Linked DNA regions of Astyanax mexicanus. The protein of the gene in region 1 interacts with the protein of each later gene in a biochemical or structural test. Links are inferred from orthologs where the notes say so. Each region holds a gene or a part of one and is shown in the gene's direction. Other genes may lie near its edges.

Region 1 (8,075 bases):
TATTCATTAGTTGTATTGTAAGTGTGAGAATTTTTGATATGCTGTAGCATCCAGTCAGACCATATCCCTGACAGTTTGTTTGGTTTGCATATCATTATTTTTTTCCGGGTGGGATGAATAAATTCCATTCAATTTACATACAGAAACAGGCCTCCGCTGTCTGCACTCTCTGTGCCTCAGCCTGACTCTACCACTGATTCACAAACACGCACTACCGTACAATACAGTTCTAATAAAATAAAGGTGATTATCCAGTTAATCTGAGCTCTCCAATACCATCACCTCAGCACCAGATCATCATCAGATCAGCTTCTTCATCATTCCAGAGGCCACAGTATGTGACATAGTTAAGCATCAATAGAATTGATACTATCAGCAAACAAGACTCTGCATGTACATCCAGTTTATTTTCTTTTGTTTTTAGAATTTGGGACAGATGTGCAAAAAGGTGTGCAAAATGTTCAATCTCCCACTACAAAATAAAACCAAATAACCTTCACATAATCCATTATCATCTTACATTAAAATAAACAGTTATAGTAGCACATAAGGGAGTCTAATGAATAAATACTGGGAATTCTTGATATTTTAATGCACCTAAGTCTATGTTTTAACTATTTTTTTATTTTAATTTTAGTTAATAGCTACTAGGTTATTTTTTTAGCTAGCCAGCTATGCAGAACCAAATCTGAACCGAAGGCTAGCTTAATATAATTTACATTTCTAAGAAGGTTATATTTCTAGACATACTGTAGGCTATGGGTTAAATTCATATAGAAGTATAGAAGTTGGCCTTAAAGGGTTTAAGGAGTTAGTTCACATGAACACATGGAAAAAAGACAGATGACATGTGATGAACGTGTGAACTTTTAGATGTGCATTAATGTGGATAAAAAAAAGATAAAAGAAATGATAGAAATGAAAGAAAATATAGGATTAGCCCCCTTTAAATATGAATACAGAATATGCAAACACCTATTGCCTTTTTTTTACATTTCTTTAAGAAAAAAACAGTCCATAACATAACTATATCAAGTGTGTGTGTGTGTGTGTGTGTGTTGTGGTATTATATTGAACAAGGCCCAAAATTTCAGACATACAAAATATCAATATTTATTTTCAACCCCTTAGGCCCTATGTTGTAGCTCATAGTTTTGTAGTTTAGTTTTTACCTCTCATAACTAGCTATACCACAGTCATACTTAGGGTAAGTTTAATAGCCCCTACAATAGAACCCTGTGGGATTCAATAAAACATGCAAAACCATTTCTTCTTCTTAACTGAATGATAATCCTAGAATACAGAATCTTCAAAGACTAAATGCACATTTTCAAATATTTCTTTGGCTAAATCAAGTCTATAACATATGCTCTATGTGTGTTTTTAGTGTTGAGTTAAATGAGGTCCAAAGCTTCATTAGGAAAACACCAGAGAAGACTGCAAATGTTCTGGAAATGTTGTCCCAGATTCCAGAAATTCGAAATTCTTCTGTATATTTTGGGGAATACAGATTTAAATATACAGATAGAGCACATATGACAATTCACAGTCTATTTGTAGCTTAATTTAACATTTCAGCTCCTCCTCAATGGGCATTCGCTCTGTTCGCTCCTCTGGTCATCTCTTCCAGGTGTGCACGATGCCTCTCCATGGGTCCACATGGCCCAAAATGGCGCAATGGCCATGATGGCAAGGTGGCAGCCTCTGCAGCCTCATGTCAATTCTCTCTCTCTCTCTGTGTGACACCTACACAGTCTCTTTTTCCTCATTTCTCCTTCTCTGCCCCCCTCCATCTGTTTCACTCTTTCAGTGTTGACCACACAGCTCATCTCCTTGGGCCTCTGCTGGAACCCCATTGTGCAACGCAGGCAGCTTTTTGGTTTTCCGGAGTCTCTGAAAAAAACATGTAGAAGGGAAGGAGAGATGCTGCAGTGATGGCATGGGCCCCTGATGGCTCGTTTTTTCAAGGTGCCAAGAAAAGTCACATCTCTCTCTGGTTTCTGTTGCTGGCTTCCTCCGTTCGGGGTGAACCGGGTTTATCTGGGTGGCCAAACAAGCGGGAAATGGAGCAGAATGACACATGGAGATTAGCAACCACAGGCCAGGACCAGCCAACACATGGGCACAACCGTTAGAGCTCGCTCGCCCCGCCATCTACGCCTGTCATATAGACACACACACACACACACACACACACACATACACACACACTCGCTCACTCACTCGCTCAGTCATTCACTCACTCTATCCAAGAGACTCTTTCAGATCACACATACATGTATACTCAACCACATACACACATACAGAGAAGAAGCTGTAGCAGAGTGGACTGGCTTTGTGGCCTTTGCGCCTTGACCTTTTGACCTTGCAGCACATATTGGCCTGTAGTCGAAATAATCTTTCAAAAAAAATGAAGAAAAGAATATGTTTGATCAGATTCACACTGTGGACAAGCTGAAATTAAACAAACTTAAATTCAACTTAAAAGTCAAATTGAAAAGTTGAACACTTTTTAAAGCTTATTAAGTTCACAGTTCAGTCTGCCAGCCCAAATCAGATTTTTGGCATATCTACTGTATATTGTATCCAGAATGGTTTGTGATAGTTTGAACAGCCGGAATCCACATGAAATATGATTTTTTTATTTGTGAATTGGATTCAAACCACATTTGGAGATTGCTTCAAATGTGATACAAATATATGTACAGATCTGTCACAGTCTGGACACTCTGGATGCTGAATCCAGAATGAGGGAAGTGTGGGGGCACAAGAAGAGCTCTAAAGATTAGTTACTGATACCTGTTATTAATGCTTAACTCATTTAAGTAAATTAGTTTATTTAATTTACAGTTCAGGCTGTGTTTACACTGCAAGCTCAAATCTGGATTGCATATCTAGATTGTATCCAGATTAGTTTATAAAAGTCTGGACAGCCAGAAAAAACCCATACAGGAAAGGTTGTATCAGAGCACAGTTAGAAGACCTGAATAAGAAAACCCTAATTTCTGAGATGGGTGTCTGGATTAAGCAGTTCCAAAAGGTACAGTACAGTGGTATAAGCTTAGGCCAGGCTTATATATTCAACACTTTACTAATGATAAGGCCACAGTGCAGTGAACACACTGATAAACACTGCTTTACAGTGTTTCTGGTTAGTGTGATAGAGGTCAGGGCAGGAGGTCAGGGCACCACAGAAAAGAAAAAAAACTATTTGCAAGAGAGCATGTACTTTCTACTAAGATCTTAGCATGATTTATTGTAATATATTTATTTAACACACAACATAGTCTACAGAGAGTATATTATATTATGGCTACACTTCCTTAAGGCTGTAAGTAACAGATGCACGTGTGTGTGTGTGTGTGTGTGTACGGAGAGTGCCGGGAGGAGGGGGTGCAGTGGGCTGCAGTCTTCCCAATCCCATCGTGCACTTCTCACCCACTTTCTGCTACTTGTCTGCTAGACCTCAGTTTATAACGGTAAATGCTGTTCTGAATCATGTAATTGCTATGCTATTGTTGACTGATATGCCTTGCTGTTGTTGTGGCTGTTTACATTGTTAAGTGAAAATTGTCACTTACCTACCATGAGACTGGTTCTGAGCCATTTTAGGCACCTTCTGGTAAATTTCACTGTTCACTGGTATTTGGGTTCTTCCACAGAACGCTTCTCAGTGCTGTATAAGTGAGTCTTCTGCTCTGGTCCTGGAGGGCTGGTGTAAAGGATGTAAATGTCAGGGCTCTCTGGACTCTACCGATAAGTTGTGGAGCTACTTTGAGCTTGGATAATGGTGTAAAAAGCGATTTATCTGCAGGGGCAAAATATGCCCCGTTAAAACCTATTCTAACCTGTTTGGCCAAATTGCATTGAAATACTGGTTCTCAGAAAGCTGTGGTTGAACGGAGGTGGGCTATTCAACTAAAGTTATTACTTTTTATCATGTTCATGTTTTACTACACCCAAAGTCCATTTTACACCGGAGTTCTCCATTAATGTTTCACCACTTTATTTACTCTATTACTTTTAAAAGACCAACATATTCAACACAATTTTTTAAATTTACAACACTGAAACATAACATTGCAATTTTGTTTTAGTTTTTTTTTTTTTTTTGCAGGGGGTGGTTGCTAATATGAGCGGATCCATTTTCATATTATATGTTGATTACACTTATTAAGGCAAGAAGAAGAAGTTTCATACTGAAAAAAATACTTCTAACTATTTTTCCTAGAGCTTCAGACGGGTCAATTTGACCCATACAATAATAGGAGGGTTAAATCATGGCAAAGACTTGGAATAGATTGGAACCTAAATTCAGTGATTAGGATAGGTGAGTTTAGTGATTAGAAAGGGTGAGTAAATAATATAATAATATAATGTATATTATACAGCTCTGGAAAAAAGAGACCGCCTAAAATTCAGTGGCATAAAGTTATCCAAAAGCAGTGTGTAAGACTGGTGGAGGAGAACATGATGCCAAGATGCATGAAAACTGTGATTAAAAACCAGGGTTATTTTACCAAATATGGATTTCTGAACTCTTAAAACTTTATGAATATGAACTTGTTTTCTTTGCATTATTTGAGATCTGAAAGCTTTGCATCTTTTTTGTTATTTCAGCCATTTCTCATTATTGTCTACAAATAAATGCTCTAAAAATAATTATTAAATGCGAGAAATGTTGTCCGTAGTGTAAATAATAAAACAACAATGTTTATTTTACTCAAACATATACCTATAAATAGCGAAATCAGATAAACTGATTCAGAAACTGAAGTGGTCTCTTCATTTTTTCCAGAGCTGTATATCACATTATTGTTGGAGTAACAGCGACCCCGCGTGCTTTGCTGAAGCACGTGCAGGTAGACGTCATCCGCTCGCGCCCTCCAGAGCTGTTGTTGCTGTGAGTGAAAGTAGCAGTGCCGCGGGTAGTTGCGGTGGCTCCGGCGGGCGGCGGAGCGGTTTTAGCTAATTTATCTGAATAATTTAATAAGCAGTAACTCAGCTCCGGTACTGTAGCACGTTTATATGCCGCTCCTGTCGGTAGACGCTGTTTTTATCCGCTTATTTACCTCAGTTTTGTGTGGAAATGGGGGCGGAACCTTAGCTCGGTTAGCATTAGCCGCGGTAACGGTCGGACTGCCGGAGCGCCAAGCAGCGTTTAAACACAGCTGATGAAGCAGAGAGACAGACAGCTGAGAGAAAGAAAGACAGCTGAGAGAGGGACAGGAGGGACTATCTGAACCGAAGGACGAGTTAAAAACATAGTAAGTGATACTTTTGTGGTGTTATTCATGTTTAACGACACAGTACTCACATTAAAAGTTGCTATATACAATACCAGTCAAAATAAGGACACACCTCTTTTCAGTCAGTGTGCTTTTTCTTTCTGTTTATGATTTTTTTATATTGTACATTCATTATTTAATTTGTAATACTATATTAAAGTTATACAGAAACACATGCTGAATTATTCTGTAAAGAAGAAGTTAAACAAAGCAGAATATGTTTTAGAATTACTTTAGATATGACAAAGAAGAATACACTACTGCAACAAAATGAACATTAAATTGTATTATTGTATATGATATGGCACACCCCTAACTGACTGAGATATAAAAAAATATAAGAATTTTATCAGATTTGTAACCGAAGTCAGTGATGTCATGGTTCTAATAATGCACTCCAAATATCTCCATATATCCAGGATTAAAGTAAAATAAATTATACTGGCAGATATAATCTGTCTATAGTAGATATATAACAAGAAATGATAACATTAACATTTTTCTTTTGCTAAAAACAGCAAAAAAGTAGTACCCTGATGTGATAATATAGGGGTGGGTGATATGGCACCATATTTCAGGGTATAAAATCATCCACAATATTAAAAAATGCTGGCGATGTTATTGCATACAATACGATATGTCACACTCCTGCTTTAGATTCTACTAAGTAGGTTAGCACATTCACATTCACAGCCATCTTTGAGGACAGATCTGCACGCTCTTCGTATTTTAATCTCAGTGTCTTCATGAAGGAAAGTCACCTGGAATAGTTTTCTCAGCTTCTTGAAGGAGTTCCTGGAGATGCTAAACAATAGTTGCTTCTTTTCCACCCAAATAAGACTTAAGGGCTTTGACTTGTTTGTTTGATTATTTATGAGTTTTTGTTCTTTCCTTATAGTATGCCTTTTTAACACTGACGCTTGAAATTAAACAGTTTTTTTGTGTTACAGTTTTTTCTTTTTTTATATTTAAAAAGCAGGATTTGCTGAGGGATTTGCCGTGGGAGTTATCGTCATAATGGAATCTGCATCAGATCCCACTCCACCAAGAGCACATAAAGGCTCTTCTCGTTCTCCAAAAAAACCTCAGCAAAACTCTGCCAAAGTAAGAAATATTCACCTTTTTAAAAGCTAAAGCCAAATGTCTGTTTAAAACAAATTGTCAGTGTTGTGCTGTGGGTTTACTTGTCAATCCGAAGCTCAGCACAGGAGCAAGGCTTCATGCGTCGTCCACCAAGTTTCCCAGAGCTCCTTTCCACTGAGTCTTCTGAGTTTGAAATGACCAAAGATCCAGTCGTCATTAAGACATCAATATGAGGCCAGAAATTGTGTTTACTGATGGTTTTAAGTAGCCGATTTCAGTATTGGGGAACAATGTGCCACATCTTACATGCAGTTCCAAAACAAGCAATAGTTTTAGTCAAGCAAACGTTAGAGACAAGATCATTCTTTTCTCTCACTCAGCATTACTAGAGACTGCTGGAGTTGTTAAGCAAGATTAGTTGCATTCTTTGTAAATTTATATCTTTGGCGGTAACAGCCTTCTTAAAGTTTTTTTCTGACTGACGTTGCATGGAAGTGTTTTAGATTCACAGTCGAGTGTAACAATATATACATTACGTACACTGTTATCAAAAATTGATAATAATAGAATTTACTAAACCGTCAGCTTAATACTTATTAAAACACATATTTTTTTTAATAGTGGTATGTTGTGTGATGCTTATACAATTATAACATTAGTACAAACATTAATACAAAGACAGTTTGGTTTATTTCCCCAGTTTTATCAAATTAATAATTCATTGATTGAAAAAATAATCAACAGTTGAAATGATTATCAAGATAATTGTTAGTTTCAGCTGTACTGAAGTGAATTGAGTACTTCTTAATAAGTGGTACTTTAGGAACAAGATTGAGAACAACTCACTTAGTAAAGCCTAAAAGCAAACACGTTTCAGTGCCTGGATTTCTATTGTTTCAGTTAATTGTAGTGATCCATTAGATTAGCTATATAAGAGACCTTCCCTGATACAGTGCTGAGCTTTGTATAGAATAGAACAGGTTAACTTGCAAAATGTGGACCTGAGTTAGATAATAGGAGATTGGTGAAGTTTATGTGGAGCTTGTGTGATGGTTTGTAATTAACCTGAAGCTTCTTTATCTCAGAGAGAAAACAGCAAACCCAACCACAAGCAGAGTCTCCAGGACGCCAGGAGAAAGGGCAGAATGGACCGAGGGAAAGCAGAAGAGGAGATGATCAATAAGCTCAAAAACATTGTGCGTATGTTAGAGTGCATTTTGGTGCAGAATTTTAATTATATGACCTATTTAGTTTATTTTTTCTCATTTTGTTGTTTTATTTTTTCCACTGAAAATATAGCATTTAGATTTTTGCACTGCTTGAGATTTTTTGTTCTATTCATAATCATATAACGGCATGCAAACTGTTCATATGATAAGTAAATGTCATGTGAGTTTAGTACAGTAAATAAGTTCTGAACAGTATGTGAATGGGTTTGTGTTTATTTGCTTGCAGGATTTGCGTTGTAAGCCTAAAGCAACTGGAACAGGCCTGGTTTACTCTGAAGCTTTTACTCACCATCGCTGCCTCTGGGACACCAGGTGACTGCAGTATTGTATATGCTTATTCATTCTTAATAAAAATAAGTGAGTAAGTGTGTAAGTGTGAGGGTTTTTTTTTTTAGACTTTTGTTGTTTAAAGAGGTTTGTTACAGAGGTTTGTAAGCTTTGTTATTGCTTCATTCTTAATGATTTACTTGTTGCT
Region 2 (7,904 bases), on another chromosome or scaffold:
AGGTAGGTAGGTAGGTAGGTAGGTAAAAATGCAGAGAGGTAGATAGACAGACAGGTAGACAGACAGACAGATAGACAGACAGATAGATAGTTCATTAAACATCAATGAAGACTAATGAACCCATCCCAGAAGAAGTCATGCAAGCCCAATCCATGACACTACCTCCACCTTGTTTCAAAGATGAGCTGGTATGTTTGAGATCACGAGTAGATCCTTTCTATCTCAAAATATTAGCCTTTCCAGCACACTAGTAAAGATTTGAGCACGACAGTGATTTTAATACATTTATTTCCAAAGTGTTATCGTTAAATAATGGTTAAAATAATGAAATTAAGGCAAATAAATGGTATGCAAGTCCAAACATGCAGAAAAGTGATGTCAATCAATCAATCAACCTATATTTTGACTCGGAGGTACATTAAGGGGCAACCCTCATTTACAATGTAGCCAAGCAAATTTACAGAAACAGGGATTGACAAGACAATAGTTAAATTTACTTATTTTAAAATAACAGTAAATAAAATATAAAAATGATAAAAAATAAAAATAGAATTAGAATAAAATAAATAGTAATTATTATAATAAATCTTGGTTTAATTGATATTGATAAAAAAATAAGATCAAAAGAATATTAATTCAAGATTAATACAACAAAAATGAGTTAAAATTAGCTAAAACTAACTTTTACATAATACAACAAAAATACAAATAAATAAACTAAAAAAATAAATGAAAGAAAGAAAGAAAATCAAAATAAGTTAAAAAGCAATAATACAAAACTATTACAATAATAATAATAATAATAATAATAATAATAATAATAAAATAAGGAAAGAAATAAAAAGAAAATAAAGAACTAAAAGAAATAAAAAATAAAAGTTAATAATAAATAAGATTAAGCAAAACAGGCTGTCTGAAGGTGGTTAGATATTAAATGTTTAAAATGATGTAGTGACAGCAGTGAGCTTTAGTGAGTTTTAGAGTTTCCTGTAGTGAATAATTCCAGCTCACTGCTGCTGCTGTTCTGTAGCTAAAAGCAGATTTCCCCTGTTCACTAAAAACTTTAGGAATCTGGCACATTGTAACTTAAAAAAGTTAAGTAATGGAGAATGAAAACTTGAGTTAGCATAAATTAAAAATTCAAGTTATTACAACTAAAGGGGAAGTTGATTTATTTGTAAGGTAGCCCAGGGGGAATCACTACCAGTGAAGGTATAGTTACTTTGAAAAAGTAATCCGATTACTGATTACTGATTACTCCTTTAAAAAGTAACTTAGTTACTTTATGGATAACTTGATTTTAAAAGTAACTAAGTTACTTTACAAGTTACTTTATTAGTTACTTTCAGCAGCTGCAGACACCACCTCCCGCCACCTTAATAACCAGTTTTGCCAATACTCCCTTTATTGGAAAATACATTTTTAACAGCATCAATTTATCTCTATTAAGTTGAACTATTTCCTAAAAAAATACTTTTTTTTTATAAAAATAAAAAAAATTAACATAAATATTTTTTTTATAAAAAATAAAATATGGTCTTTCTTGATTTTACTAAACATAAATACTTGTTTTTATAAAAAAATATATAAAATAAAGAAAGTCTTTCTTGACCTGACATATTTAACACTGTAAAACTGAATATTGAACCTGTTGTTCTCTGCAGGGCAGCAAGGAGTGGTTTTATAAAACAGAACCGTGTATATGGTCTAGACCAGGGATCACATATATGCAGACTGCGGTCCGGGTCCGGACCCATACCGGACCCAACTACTGAGAAGGATTTAATTCTGACAGTGTTCATTTAAAGCACCGGAACTTTTCTTGTCTTTACGGTATGTGCGCTCTGCGCCACAGTGAACTTCCAATCACGTGTGGTGTAAAATCTTTAAATGCTCTCCTCTGCCAATCAAATTTGTGGCAGACCGCTGCCCTGGCTAGTGAATTGGGACGCGGCCGCAAAAAAAAAAACGCTTTAATAAAGAGATAGGGCGCCGAGAACTGGCGAAAAACGAAAACGGGCGGAAACTAAAGACACGCCGAGCGCGAGAGAGAGAGGGGAGAAAGCGAGACGCGTGTGATTGGGGAAGAGCGGAGGGGGAATGGGTAAGGGAGCGGTGTGTGTGTGTGTGTGTGTGTGTGGAGGAGATGAGGTGGAGAGAGAGACGCACAGTGACTTAAATAAGTAACGCGTTACTGACATCACTGATCACTACACACTGATGGTGAGTGTCTGTCAGAAACTGTTGGACACACCCAGTATGCAAATAGATTGTGACAGAAGCCAATGAAAAAGAAGCTGTTAATGACAAAACAGACTAAACTTAGTTATTATAAGTTGGTTCAACTCAAAGATCTCAGTTTGAATAGTACAGTATATGTGCTCACAAATGTTCAGCTAACTCAAAGTAGTTGAGTATTGTTTAGAAATATCCAATTTTATATAAAACCGACTTAAATCATTTGAGTTTAAACAGCGTATGAGTTTACAGTGCAGCTGCTCCTGAACACTAGAGCGAGTCTGATAATTACTGTTCTTTACATTCATCAATAAAGTGATGTATTCTGACAAATTTAACCCTGTAATGTATTAAGTAACCACACGATGGCGCTGCTGAGTTACACTGTGAGTTATACTGTACAGTTCCTCAATAGAGCCTGTTACAAAACCACACACATCCTCCAGCTGAAGCAGCAGCGCAGAGCCCGAGCCTCGCTCTCCTGCCCCTCTGTTTATTTCTGTTATAATGCCTGTGTTATTAAGGGTCTACCCCCCCCCCACCCCGGTCTCGCCCGTCCTGTGTGCTGAGTTATATAACCTCAGGAACTCAGCACAGCCTGAACACAGGCGACGAACACAGTAAATAAAACCAGGACGGAAGCTTTAAAAATACTTTATTCTAAATATATTCTTCCTTATTTTCTTTATTTCAGCTTTTGTTTCCGCTGCAGGCAGAGCTAACTGCACCACCAGCCCACACTAAACACCCCTCCTCTCTACAGAAGAACAGCCCATGAAATAAAGCCTTATATACACTAATAGGGCATAATATATACTGTGTCCCATGACTTTTGGCACATCCCAGGTATGGAAAAGAACACTAGTGTCTATTCACACAGACTATTCTAGACAAACCTTTTTAAATGTGTTTGTCCACTGTGCATGGTAATATTAGTCTTATATAAGGAGTTCAGCCTCCCTCGCCACAGCCTCACATGATAACACCTCACTACTTATACAAGTGTGAGTGTTTCCAAGCTGTGCCCTGAGGTAAGCTTTATGATGATCAAGTTATATTTTTGCTCTCCCATGACTTTTGTCATGTCATGGTAGTTTAGCCAGTCTCATAACTGCACAGATGGATGGATGGATGGATGGATGGATGGATGGATGGATGGATGGATGGATGGATGGATGGATAGATAGATAGATAGATAGATAGATAGATAGATAGATAGATAGATAGATAGATAGATGAACAGGCAGACAGATCAAGTTACAGGCAGACAGATCAAGTTATATTTTGCTGTCCCATGACTTTTGTCATGTCGTGGTATTTTACCCAGCCTTACATAACTGCACAGTTATGCCTTATTATAGACAGACAGATATATAGATAGATAGATAGATAGATAGATAGATAGATAGATAGATAGATAGATAGATAGATAGATAGATAGATAGATAGATAGATAGATAGATAGATAGATAGACAAACAGAGACATCAACAGGAAGACAAATACATAGACAGACAAATAGAGACATCAACAGGAAGACAAATACATAGACAGACAAAAACAAAAGGATAGACAGGACAGACAGACTTATAAACAGAGATATAGATAGTCAGAAAGACAGACAGACAGACAAAACAAACAGATAGATTGATAGACAGAGATATGATCAGGCAGACATATAGACAGAGAGACAGATATACAAAAAGGCAGACAGACTTTAACACACATAGTTGGAAAGACAGACATATAGACAAACAGACAGACAGACAAAAACAAACAGATATAGTCAGATAAATAGACAAACAGATAAATTAACGGACAAAAACAACACAAAAAACACAGAAAGACATACTAAAAACAGACAGACATTTAGTTAGAAAGACTGAAAGACAGACAGTCACCCAGATGGATAGACATACAGACAGATAAATGAACAGGCAGATATATAAACAGTCAGACAGATAGAGCAAGACTGACAGACAAATAGCAGTAATTAATAAAAAATATATATTTTGTAAACTATAATAAAATACTGAATAATAATGAAACCAAGTGATAATCATGTAATTAAAATGTATTATTTAAAAAATAAATCATACATATAAACCCAGTAATATACAAATCTGATATTAAAATTAAATATATGCCAAAGGGTCGTGTATATATATATATATATATATATATATATATATATATATATATATATATATATATATATATATATATATATATATATAGTTAAAAATTAAATAATTTTCCTTAATAAACCGCTACTGTTTAAAATACACATTAAATGTAAAAAATACATTTCGATTGTGTCTCATATTTAAATAAATACATGCCCATATATTTCCTCACTTTGTGAAAACAAAACAAAACAAAACAACACAACAGTCACAGCCCGAGCCTCAGTCAGATTAGACTGACAGCCTCTCAGCCAATCAGCGAGCAGCTCCGTCTGTTTACATCAATCTGACCAATCAGCGCCCTCCTGATGCAGCGTTTCAGCCAATCAGCGCCTCACTTCCCCAACGCCTCACCCAACCACAGAGCTCCATAACCCGCCTGCTCTAACCAATCACAGAACCCCGCCTCCGCCCTCTTAGCCAATCAGGCGTCTCCGTGTCCGCCAGCCTCCCTCCGATCGGCAGCGGCTCGGTTCCCGCGAGCGGTCCGGGGGATGTTTCAGTAACGGCGGAGCGGAGCAGCGTGCGCGGCGGACAGGTGAGCGCGTGACCCGATTTTTACTTGCGTTGTCTTGCTTTTATGTGTGCACGCGCGCGTGCGTGAGTGCGTGTGTGTATTTGTGTGTGCGTGCGTGCATGCATGCATTCGTGCGTGTTCCGTCCGTGCATGCATGCTTGCGCTTGCGTGCGTTGGTGCTGTAGCGTTTGGCTCGAGCTGGCTGTGCAGCTGAGCTCGAGCTGGGTTTCCAAACAGTGCGCGAGCGAACAACAACAACACAGAGATCACGTGGACTCGCTTTCCGCGGGCACGTTTATGTAACAGTGCAGCGCGAGCGAGGAGATGGGCTTCACGCTCAGCAAAGAAAGGGATGAGGCTGAGGAAGAGGAGGAGGAGGAGGCTGGAGTGTGTGTTATCATTTTTATCATGACACTGATGCTTTTAGTGCCGGGATGCAGGAATCTGATCATCAGATCAATAATCAGATCAATAAGACATTGATTTGATGGTGAATGTTTAGCATGTGGTAATTTATACATGGTAAAATGTATGTATTTTTCACAAGATTGCATGAAAATGCTTCCTTCACTCTCCTGTAAAAAAGCTTTTTAATTCTAATTTTGGGTAGTGCACCTCCTGGTGAGAGATCGTTGACAGCTACACATTCCTTTACGACACACTCGATCATCAGCCAGCCGTCGTCTTTATCCACAAATCCAGGTTCTGAATGGAAAGCTTAGCTTGATTAGCTTGCTAACAAATTAGTGCCCATTCCACCAGTATACAACTTTTAATTGCATCTTTAAATCCCAATTATACCACAGTTAGTTCCGACCCTGCATTGTGATTGGCTGAGAGGTGTAATATGAGTGCCGTTATCAGCCGGAAATGCACTGTAACCAAACCTTTTAATACCTTCTAGATGGTAAGATTAGCCTAGTTTATCTACCCAGGTAACAAATTAGCGCCCATTCCACCAGTAGAAAACTTTTAATTGCATCTTTTAATCCTAAGCATTTTAGGGGTGCGTGTATTACAGTGTGCTCTCTCTGGATGGTTTAATCCCTTCTAGATGGTAAGTTTAGCCTAGTTATCTACACAGGTAACTAATTATTCCACCAATGTAAAACTTATGGAATTCCATCTTTCACAAAGATTCCAGCTTTTAATCTTAAAGGCCCCAGAAATATGCTTCTACAACACACTCGAACATCGGACTGAAAGAAGGACAGCTGTTTCAATAGTAAATTGCCTGCAATCAAGACCAAACATCAGCCAACCAATCGTGTTTATCATCAAACCCAGGTTCTGAATGGAAAGCTTAGCTTGGTCGACTTGCTAACAAATTAGTGCCCATTCCACCAGTATAAAGCTTTTAATTGCATCTTTTAATCTCAAGTATTTTTTCAATGTAATCTCTTTGGATGATTTAATCCAGGGGTGTCCAAGCATTTTTTGTTGGGGGCCAGAAGGAGAAATATATTTGAAGTCACGGGCCACAGACTGTAATAAAACAAATAATGAAATATACCACTTTAAATAATACTTTTTTCCTGATTACTTTCATTTACACACCATTTTACTTAACTTACTATCTTTATCAATCTTTGACAGTGTTGTGTAAACTAAGATTTTTCAAATTGGTGTTTCATTTCATGATGTCTCTTAATATTAAACTCCTTAATTACGGCAAGTTTTAGACTCTTTGGAGCGTTTTTCTGCGCTAGAACTGCGCACTCTCTCCGCTTTTAGACTCTTTGGCCCGTTTTTCTGCGCTAGAAATGCGCACCCTCTTCGCTTTTAGACTCTTTGACCCGTTTTTCTGCACTAGAAATGCGCACTCTCTCCGCTTTTAGACTCTTTGGCCCGTTTTTCTGTACTAGAGATGCGCACCCTCTTCACTTTTAGACTCTTTGCCCCGTTTTTCTGAGCTAGAAATGCGCACCCTCTCCGCCTTTAGACTCTTTGGCCCATTTTTCTGAGCTAGAAATGCGCACCCTCTCCGCCTTTAGACTCTTTGACCCGTTTTTCTGCACTAGAAATGCGCACCCTCTCCGCTTTTAGACTCTTTGGCCCGTTTTTCTGCACTAGAGATGCGCACCCTCTTCGCTTTTAGACTCTTTGCCCCGTTTTTCTGAGCTAGAAATGAGCACTCTCTCCGCTTTTAGACTCTTTGACTCTTTCTGACACCTAGCGTTCAAACTTTGAATCTCACATTATAAAAACCTGCTTAACAGCGGGCCAACTTTCATTCTATTTCTAAAGTACCTTGCGGGCCGCTCCAAAAAAGGAAACGGGCTGCAAATGGCCCGCGGGCCGTAGTTTGGACACCTCTGATTTAATCTTTTCTGAGATTAAATAGGTGCGTTTTATTATGTTTCAGTAAACGCTCACGTTATGGTGATGACTGGATGTTGTAACAGTCCATATGGCTGCGTTCTGGCGGACGCATGGTCTGCAGTCGGATATGTAAATGAGGAATCACTGTGCCGAGGTTAATTACTGACGGCAGGGAACAGCCACTTTTCAGGCCACTGAGCTGCAAAACCGAGACCGGGGGAATCTGGGGCAAACTGACTGAACCAGACACATCTAATCAGAGCATATAAGAACGAAACTAGATCTGTGTCCTGATAAAGAATCCTGATTCAGATCCAGTTTCATTTTCACTCTGACTCGATTAGACTGTGACACTGAAAAACATGCTGCTTTTTAAAGCCAGTATGAATTAGAATATGAAAATAGAAATTACTGTTGTGTCCCTTGACATTTGCCTGAATGAAGAAGTGATTTCTGCCACACTGTTTTGTCTGATATATGTAATGAATTTAAATGTATATTACCCCTAAATCTAATAACTTGGTTCTTTACTCTTGGCGGCAAGAACTGCAATCAAGCTTTACTGATAACTAAAAAAGAGTCTTTCTGATCTCTGTGGAGGAATTTTGTTCCACTCTTCTTTACAGAATTATTTAATTCAGA
Region 3 (7,545 bases), on another chromosome or scaffold:
GTTTTACATGTACTGTTTTTGCAGTATTAATCTAACCTACTTACATGGAATATTTGTGTCTATTCTTATAGTCTGTACTGTGTTGGTCTTATACTGTAGAAAGTGAGATTTAAATAATAAGGATGAATAATATTAATTATTATTTGTTGGAAGCACATTTGACCTAAAATGATCAATGTAGGTGTAGAAGAGCTTAACCCAAACATTCAAAGCCTTTAGGATAAATGTATGTTGATTTAATGTCAGAATTTCAACCTTTTTTTCAACTGATGTCAAATTGTGGTTGTTTTAAAGTTGTTTTTTCTATCATTAACCTTAAAATGTATATAATTTCTAATGTTCCTTGCTATCATGAATGTTTGTAGTTGTTTTTGTTTGTTATTTTGATATATGCTCAACCCTGAACCCCTGAATCTCTTGTCAATGAAATTCATACTGGTTAATACATCTCTACACAGTGTCTGATGTTTGGTCTGGCTGAGGGTCTAGGGAACAAGTCCATTTTCCTTTTCTGTTTTGCACAACATTAATCATAACCAATCCATCTAACCACACCAGCTAGCCAGCAATATATTTCCAAGACTTTTCTTATCATCTTTAATTTGATAATAATATTCGTGTAAAGCATGTGACCTCATTTAAACACTTCAAGACTAAACTTTTAATCATTTGACTCAGGCACCAATTTGCAAACTGCCCGCTAGTTATATTCTGGTGTGATAAGAAGATCATATCTAACCAACTTAACAGAAGAGAGACAAATTTAGCTAGGTTATAACTCAATCTCTACAGCATCGTAACACTCATTATATCATCATATGACAGAGGTGTGAGCAGCTGTTGTAGAGTTTCTGTAGGACTAAAAAAGAATAAGATGTGTGTCACTGTGATCAAGGTAACAGCCCTGCTGAAACATCAAGCTTAAGACCAGATATTAATGTATAGATGGCCTGAGCTGGTCTTTGATGGTCAGTGTAGTTAACAATATGCTGATGTGAACTAACTAACCAGCCAGCATTTCAACATTTATTCATGACTGAATCAATATCATATTAAGATGCTGAAAAAGGTCTTTAGAAACAGAAGTATGATAACTCACAGTTTGTTTACAGGTCATTTTTTTTAATATTTTGTTTTTCTATTTTCACACAAATACATTTTGTTACAAGTCGTATTATTAAAAAATAAAATCTTTAATAATGATTAATGATATGTATAAGACAAGCACATTAAATTGATAATAATTTAAGGTTTTGCTGTCATATTGGTTTACCAGTGTGGTCATGCTTATCATGCTGTTTAAAACACTGTAAACCCACAATTAGTTTGAAGTAAAACAAAATTAAGCCTGTTTTATCTAAAATTTCATATTTCCAAACATTACTCAACTATTTTATACTAGGTGAACATTCGTGCCCACATACAGTATACAAAAAATAGGAGACCAGTTTCTGAATCAGTTTCTCACAGTTAAAAATTTCATGTTTAGCTTGGTTTGATGGCTTCTGATCATCCATCTTCCTCTTGATTGTATTCCAGAGGTTTACAGTTTAGTAAAATCAAAGAAACTCATCACTTTTAAGTGGTCTCTTATTTTTTCCGAAACTGTACACATTTAAACAGAGATCTTTGTCAGAGATCAGAGAGTTTTGTCTGTTGCCACTGGCAGCTTCTTTTCCATTGGCTTCTGGTACAACCTGTTTGAATTCTGGATGTGTTTCTGACACTAACATCCATCTGTGTATCTGTCTGTCTGTCTGTCTGTCTGTCTGTCTGTCTGTCTGTCTGTCTGTCTGTCTGGCTGGCTGTCTACCAGATTGATAGTGCTTGTAATACTGGTCAATGTATGTGTTAATGCTGGTCAACCAGTAAGTTCAAGCTTAGTCATAATTGTTATTTATCGGGGCCAGATGGACCATGCTTGAAGACTAGATTATTCAATCAGCTTTACCAGCTTGACCAGCATGAGGGAAAAACATAACAACATGAAAATTGGGTTATTAATCATTGGATTCAATCATTAGAGGGCTGTCTAATGGAAAACTATTACCTCATTAGTAGTTTGTGCTTATCAAATTACTGCCACAACACAAATGTTAATTTCTGTTATCACATTTCTTACTGTTTCTAGCTTACAGTAATGCTTTCCTCACAGTGGAGTGGCTTGCCCTCTACTGCTACATTATTAATATATGCTATTGCTGAATATAAATGGATGGGCATTTTAGCCCACAATCTAGATATGTTTTAGTCAAGTCACTGTAGTTCAAGAATAACTTTATTTAAACCTTTATCTGTCTGTCTATGTTAAAACACTGGCTATATAATTGACAGTGCAGGGATTTTTTTTTACATGTAAAAGGGCATGCTAACTCGTTAACTTTTTATCACTGTTGATTTATGTCACGTAATCAACTTCATATTCATTCATATCACATTTACATATCAGTGACAACACAAGCACACATCAACTCACATTACAATGACTAACACATTTAATTTCATAATATGTAGGGCGTAGAGTGTGTATGTTTATTAAAACAGATCTTAAGATTAATGTCATCAGTTTGCTCATGGGCTTATCTCTTTGATCTCATGATCTTATCGAATTAGAGTGGTTCACTATGATGGGAGCACGTATAAACCTGAATGTTTGCTTACATGATTCGCACAGACACAAGATACATTCCTATCATCCCACCGCTTCTCAGTGAAGAGGACTATACAGTGAATTTGGACATTTTAGGTGAGATGTGAAAGTATATGGAGTAAAGTGTTCAGTTTAAAGGGAACTTTGCACTGCATACTGAAGAAAGTACTGTATGAGTTTATCACTAGGAATTTGTCAGTAATGTTTACCCATCATTCCGTGTATGTCTCACTGGCTGGGGCTCACCATGAACACTACAACACGGTGTACACACAACACAAATCTGCTGTTGTTTAGCCATAAAATCACATATATTCTTTTTGTGCATACACAGCTGTGACACAGGCCTGTCACAGTATATTGTATACACAACATATTCATAAGAGAAGCACCGATGTGGGAATTCTGAGCTGATGGCGATATCTGATATTTCACCACCTCTGCCAATGGTGATGTGGATATCCACATTTATAACTTACAGAGAGACTACACACCCCACTATACTGTCTCCTCCACAAGTATTAGGACAGTTAGGCCAGTCCTACTATTGCTATCTGCTGTAAACTGAAAACATTTGTGTTTATTATTAAAAGACAGAAGATAGAACCTTTTGTCTGACAAAACACAAAACAAACAAAAATTTGCTGTCTTTTGTCTTCAGATTCAGATGCAGAAATAAATAGATTGGCCTCACTGTTCCAATATTTTTGGAGTGGACTGTAACTTTATAACTTTAAAACAAATATATATATTTTTTTTTATTGCTTAAATCAATTAATTTTAAAGTAGCACATGCAGTGTTGGGTAATTGTAGCAGCACGGCAAGCATCACTTGGTCCTTTTCCTCTGCCAAACAGGTGTCCTAGCGTCCAATTTTTTTTTCAAAATTAACATTTTAATATAACATTATAGTCATTATGGCTTTTAGAGAAATAGCACTATAGGCTCCTGTGGTGCCGCCTAAACTTTTGTCCTTAATGGCATTTTTCCCCTTACTTATACTTTATATTTTATAATTCAAGTAGTTTTGAAACCAGAACATTTACATTTTTACTTGAGTTGATACTTTAACTTCTACAGAAGTATTTTAAACCCTAGTATCTATACTTCTACCTGAGTAATGAATGTGGATACTTTTGACACATTTGTTTTCCTATACCTGTGGCCATGGAAGTGATTAAAACCAGTCAGTCAGTCAGTGAGTCAGTCAGTGACTCAGTGGTTTGGATGGGTGAACGAATATGTTTTGTAATTTTGTGTTTTTAATTAAATTTACTTTAAATTGACTTTTTAACAAACTTAAAAATTTTAATGGAACAATTCATAAATTTTTGTTTTGAACGTGCTTTTTTATTTTTTTGAGGTGAAGAAATTTGACGTTAAGAAAAAATACATTTCAAAATATGATTTTCAGATTTGGAAAAATCAGATGCATAAATTTCAGATAGATCAATTCAAATCAATCTACTGGATTACATCTTTGTTCTAATATTGTATTCTTGAGTTTCGAATAAAATAGATTTTAATTTAATTTGGATTTTTTTATTTTATTTTATGGGTTTTAACAGCCATTTTCACTACCTCCAATTTCAAAACACAAAAAGTTGTTAGAATTAAAATGTTTGAATCTCCTCATTAAATATTTCAAGTTTATTCAAAAGTCAGGTAAATTTAATTCAAATATACAAAATGCAGATTCAATACTTATGTCAATACTTTTAAGCCACATATAGCTGCTAATAAGGTTTAATAGTAATATAATATACTGGTAATAACCCCGCTAATCGTGGGCGGCGCAGATCTGCACACGCCCAGCGTCGCTGCACGGGAGGGATCCGCGTCCACACACTCACACAGTCTTTATCGAAGAGGAGGAGGAGGGCCTCGATTTATCGACTCCTCTTCGACTGTCAGGCGAGCGCACTCGTCCACGGAAAACCACCGCGGCCGCGATCTCAACAAACAGCAGCAGAACACGCGCGGGGACGCCTTTTATCGCCTGAACTCGTTTGTATTGATCTGAGGGTGCGGATTTGTGGACGGAGTGATGGCGGACTCAGGCAGCAGCGCAGCGGCAGCCGGAGCCGCAGGCTCGAATGGGAGCGCCGCCGGGGCAGGAGGAGCGGTGCCGCCCGGGGGAGCGACTGGAGCTGCGGGATCCAAGCCCGGCCTTGAGTCCGTGAAAGGGCAAAATTTTGACGTGGGCCCTCGCTACACCGATCTGCAGTACATCGGGGAGGGGGCGTACGGGATGGTTTGGTAAGGGGAGGAAGTGTTTGCTGACATTTCTGTGTTTTTGTTACACATTTTAACGATATAAACACCATGAGAGAAGCTGCTGCTGCAACAGTAGGGTGGGCTCAGTTCGCTAGCGTTAGCTTAGCAGCGTAGCTAACCTAGCAGGATACTTGTAGGGGTGGATAACCCAGGTCCAGAAAGTAAAGGGCCAACCCAGGGTTTTGTACCAACTGCCTGGGCGGCTATGCTGCAGCTGGTACAAACCCTGGGTTGGATTTTTACTTTCTGGACCTTGGTTACCCACCTCTACAAGTATATAGCTAGCGACTTATCCTAGCTGTCTTACGCGCTAGCTTAGCATCGCATAGTCGGCTATGCTGGTAAATCCAGGTTCATGATTTGAAAAAGAAATCCAGGCCAAGATTTGTTTCCAACGGCTTTAGCAGAGCCTCTGAAGTCGAGCTACAGCAGCGCTGCCAATGCAGTTGGAATAAAATCCTGGGCTGGATTCTGGCTAACGCGAACTTTCTGGACCTGGATTTACCAACACTAGCAGTTGGATAAAAAAAGTAGGTGTTGGTCCTTGGTGGCTGTTTAAACTAGATAGTTAACGTTATATTAAACGACAATTGTAGCTAACTGTAACGTTAACCATACGCTATATAGCTAGCTATATCTGTTTATATAGGACGTTCTCCAAGCGTTAACTAAACATTATCCTAACATTATCCAGCAACTAACCTAGCTAACTAAACAAGATGACGCTTAACGTTAACTATGTAAAAAACAGGCGAAGATGTTGTGCATTACAATACAGTTAACTAGCCAGTTACAAACACAGACGCATAATAATAATAAACCCGCCCATAATAATGTTAATGAGAATAATAAAGACAATAGTAGTAAATCAAAAAGTGAGATAATAGAATACAGTAAAAAAAAAAAGCAAAGCAAAAAAGTGTTTGCATAACTAACAGTATAAGCTAACTAGCTAGTCAAGACGTTGGTGTTAAGACATAACAGGTAGCTAGTTAGCTAGCTAACATAAATAACAAACATAATAGATACGCATAACCGAGCTAGCTAAAGAAAAAAAAAATAGATATGGGTAAAAAGGAGTTAAGTAGCTAACTAGATGTTTAGTATACAAACAGTGTAACTATCAGCTGGGTTAGCTAGTTATTTATGTTAAGAATGTCAAATAAAGGATTAGCATTATATTTAAACGTTAAAATATAGTAAAACATGCTAGCTAACGATAGCTAATAGGAAAAAAAGATGCAAAGGATTTGCAAGGAAGCGAATCAAGCAAGCTGTCATTTTGATGCTCATCCTGTTAGCTTACCTAGCTAACCTAAAGTTTATACAGGCATTGGCCTTATATTTTTAACCAAACCACAATATAAATGTTACTAAAGACATGTCCATGTCCGCTCTGATAATTTTTGTTTTTTTTTCGTCGCCCAATCTCTAAAAGAGCCAGTGTTTGGCTGGTTAGCTAACTTAGCTGGCTAGTTGTGAGCTAAACCTGCATGCTAATCCATTAGCTAGCGTTTAGCGGCTTGACATTTCATTATGTGCTGCCTGTAGGAAAGGCGTGGTTTTACCATAATGCTAATTGTGTGTTTAGTCGGGGGAGTGAGGTGGCAGAAATGCTGCTTTTTTCAGGATTTTTAAACGCTCTGAATGTTGCTAAATGTAGTTAAATGCATTAATAGTTGTTGTGCTTTGTAATTAACACTGAATTGGCAGTCAGTTAGTTCACGTTAGGTGGCCCAGCGAACACACAGCATTGTCACAACGTTGGCTACGTTCTTACAACGTTGCTACAATGTTGTCAAAAGGTGGCTGTTCTTCTCATCACAATGTTTTGTGCTTTTCTACAAGTCTGCTGCAGTGGGATTAGAAAAGAAAATCAATCTTAGCTTTCAACGGAAGTCAGTGAAAAAGATTTTATGTCCAGTAATTTTAAGCATTTCTATTGGTCCATGAAATGATCAAATTACAAATCCACACTTTTAATCACAAACCTACAGACCCCCTATGGTGACAACGTGGAATAAAATATGTACTTATTAGTGACCAAAGCTTAATTAAAACTTGAGAACCAGATAATTAAGTCGTGGGGACGATTGTTATGGTCAGGACTCAATTTGTCTTGTTCCCACACTAAGTCATGGCCACACATTAAAATCTTGTTCCCACACTTGGTTGAGTCGTGGCCACAAGTAAGGATCTTATTCCCATGCCTAAATAAGGTATGGCCACACATTATGATCTGTTCTCACGCTTTAATAAGTCATGGCCATGCATTAGAATCTCGTTCCCATGCTTTATTAAGTCGTGGCAATGCATTCAGATCTCATTCCCATGTGTTTTTAAGTCGTGGCCACGTATTATGATCTCGTCCCCACGCTTTAAGTAATGGCCACACATGAGAATCTCATTCCCATGCTTTAACAAGTTGTTATTATTATTATTATTATTATTATTATTTATTTTTATTTTTTTTTTGTATGTTTTAACATGGTGTCACCTTTGTAGTAAACAGAAAAGACACGCAACTTTTTAAAATAAAAAACGTTATGTATAGTGGATTTGATAATATTAACAAAAACAATACATTGTATAGCTATATATGTTTATATGGGGCTTTC

What was found. The genes of interacting proteins can lie anywhere in the genome.
Region 2: the proteins of hdac6 (region 1) and tubulin polymerization-promoting protein form a complex in vitro, tested with the Homo sapiens proteins (2 studies listed by BioGRID). The link is inferred for Astyanax mexicanus from reciprocal best matches to the Homo sapiens genes HDAC6 and TPPP.
Region 3: the proteins of hdac6 (region 1) and mapk3 form a complex in vitro, tested with the Homo sapiens proteins (2 studies listed by BioGRID, with this or other methods). The link is inferred for Astyanax mexicanus from reciprocal best matches to the Homo sapiens genes HDAC6 and MAPK3.

Annotation. Positions count from the first base shown.
Region 1 is NC_064419.1:4,052,252-4,060,326, reverse strand, and holds the start of hdac6 (histone deacetylase 6), read left to right. Parts: upstream 1-4,888; 5' UTR 4,889-5,267; intron 5,268-6,264; exon of another isoform or gene 6,265-6,267; 5' UTR 6,268-6,305; coding exon 6,306-6,392; intron 6,393-7,456; coding exon 7,457-7,567; intron 7,568-7,826; coding exon 7,827-7,912; intron 7,913-8,075.
Region 2 is NC_064408.1:122,732,223-122,740,126, reverse strand, and holds the start of tubulin polymerization-promoting protein, read left to right. Parts: upstream 1-4,849; 5' UTR 4,850-4,961; intron 4,962-7,904.
Region 3 is NC_064426.1:25,608,773-25,616,317, forward strand, and holds the start of mapk3 (mitogen-activated protein kinase 3), read left to right. Parts: upstream 1-4,490; 5' UTR 4,491-4,697; coding exon 4,698-4,909; intron 4,910-7,545.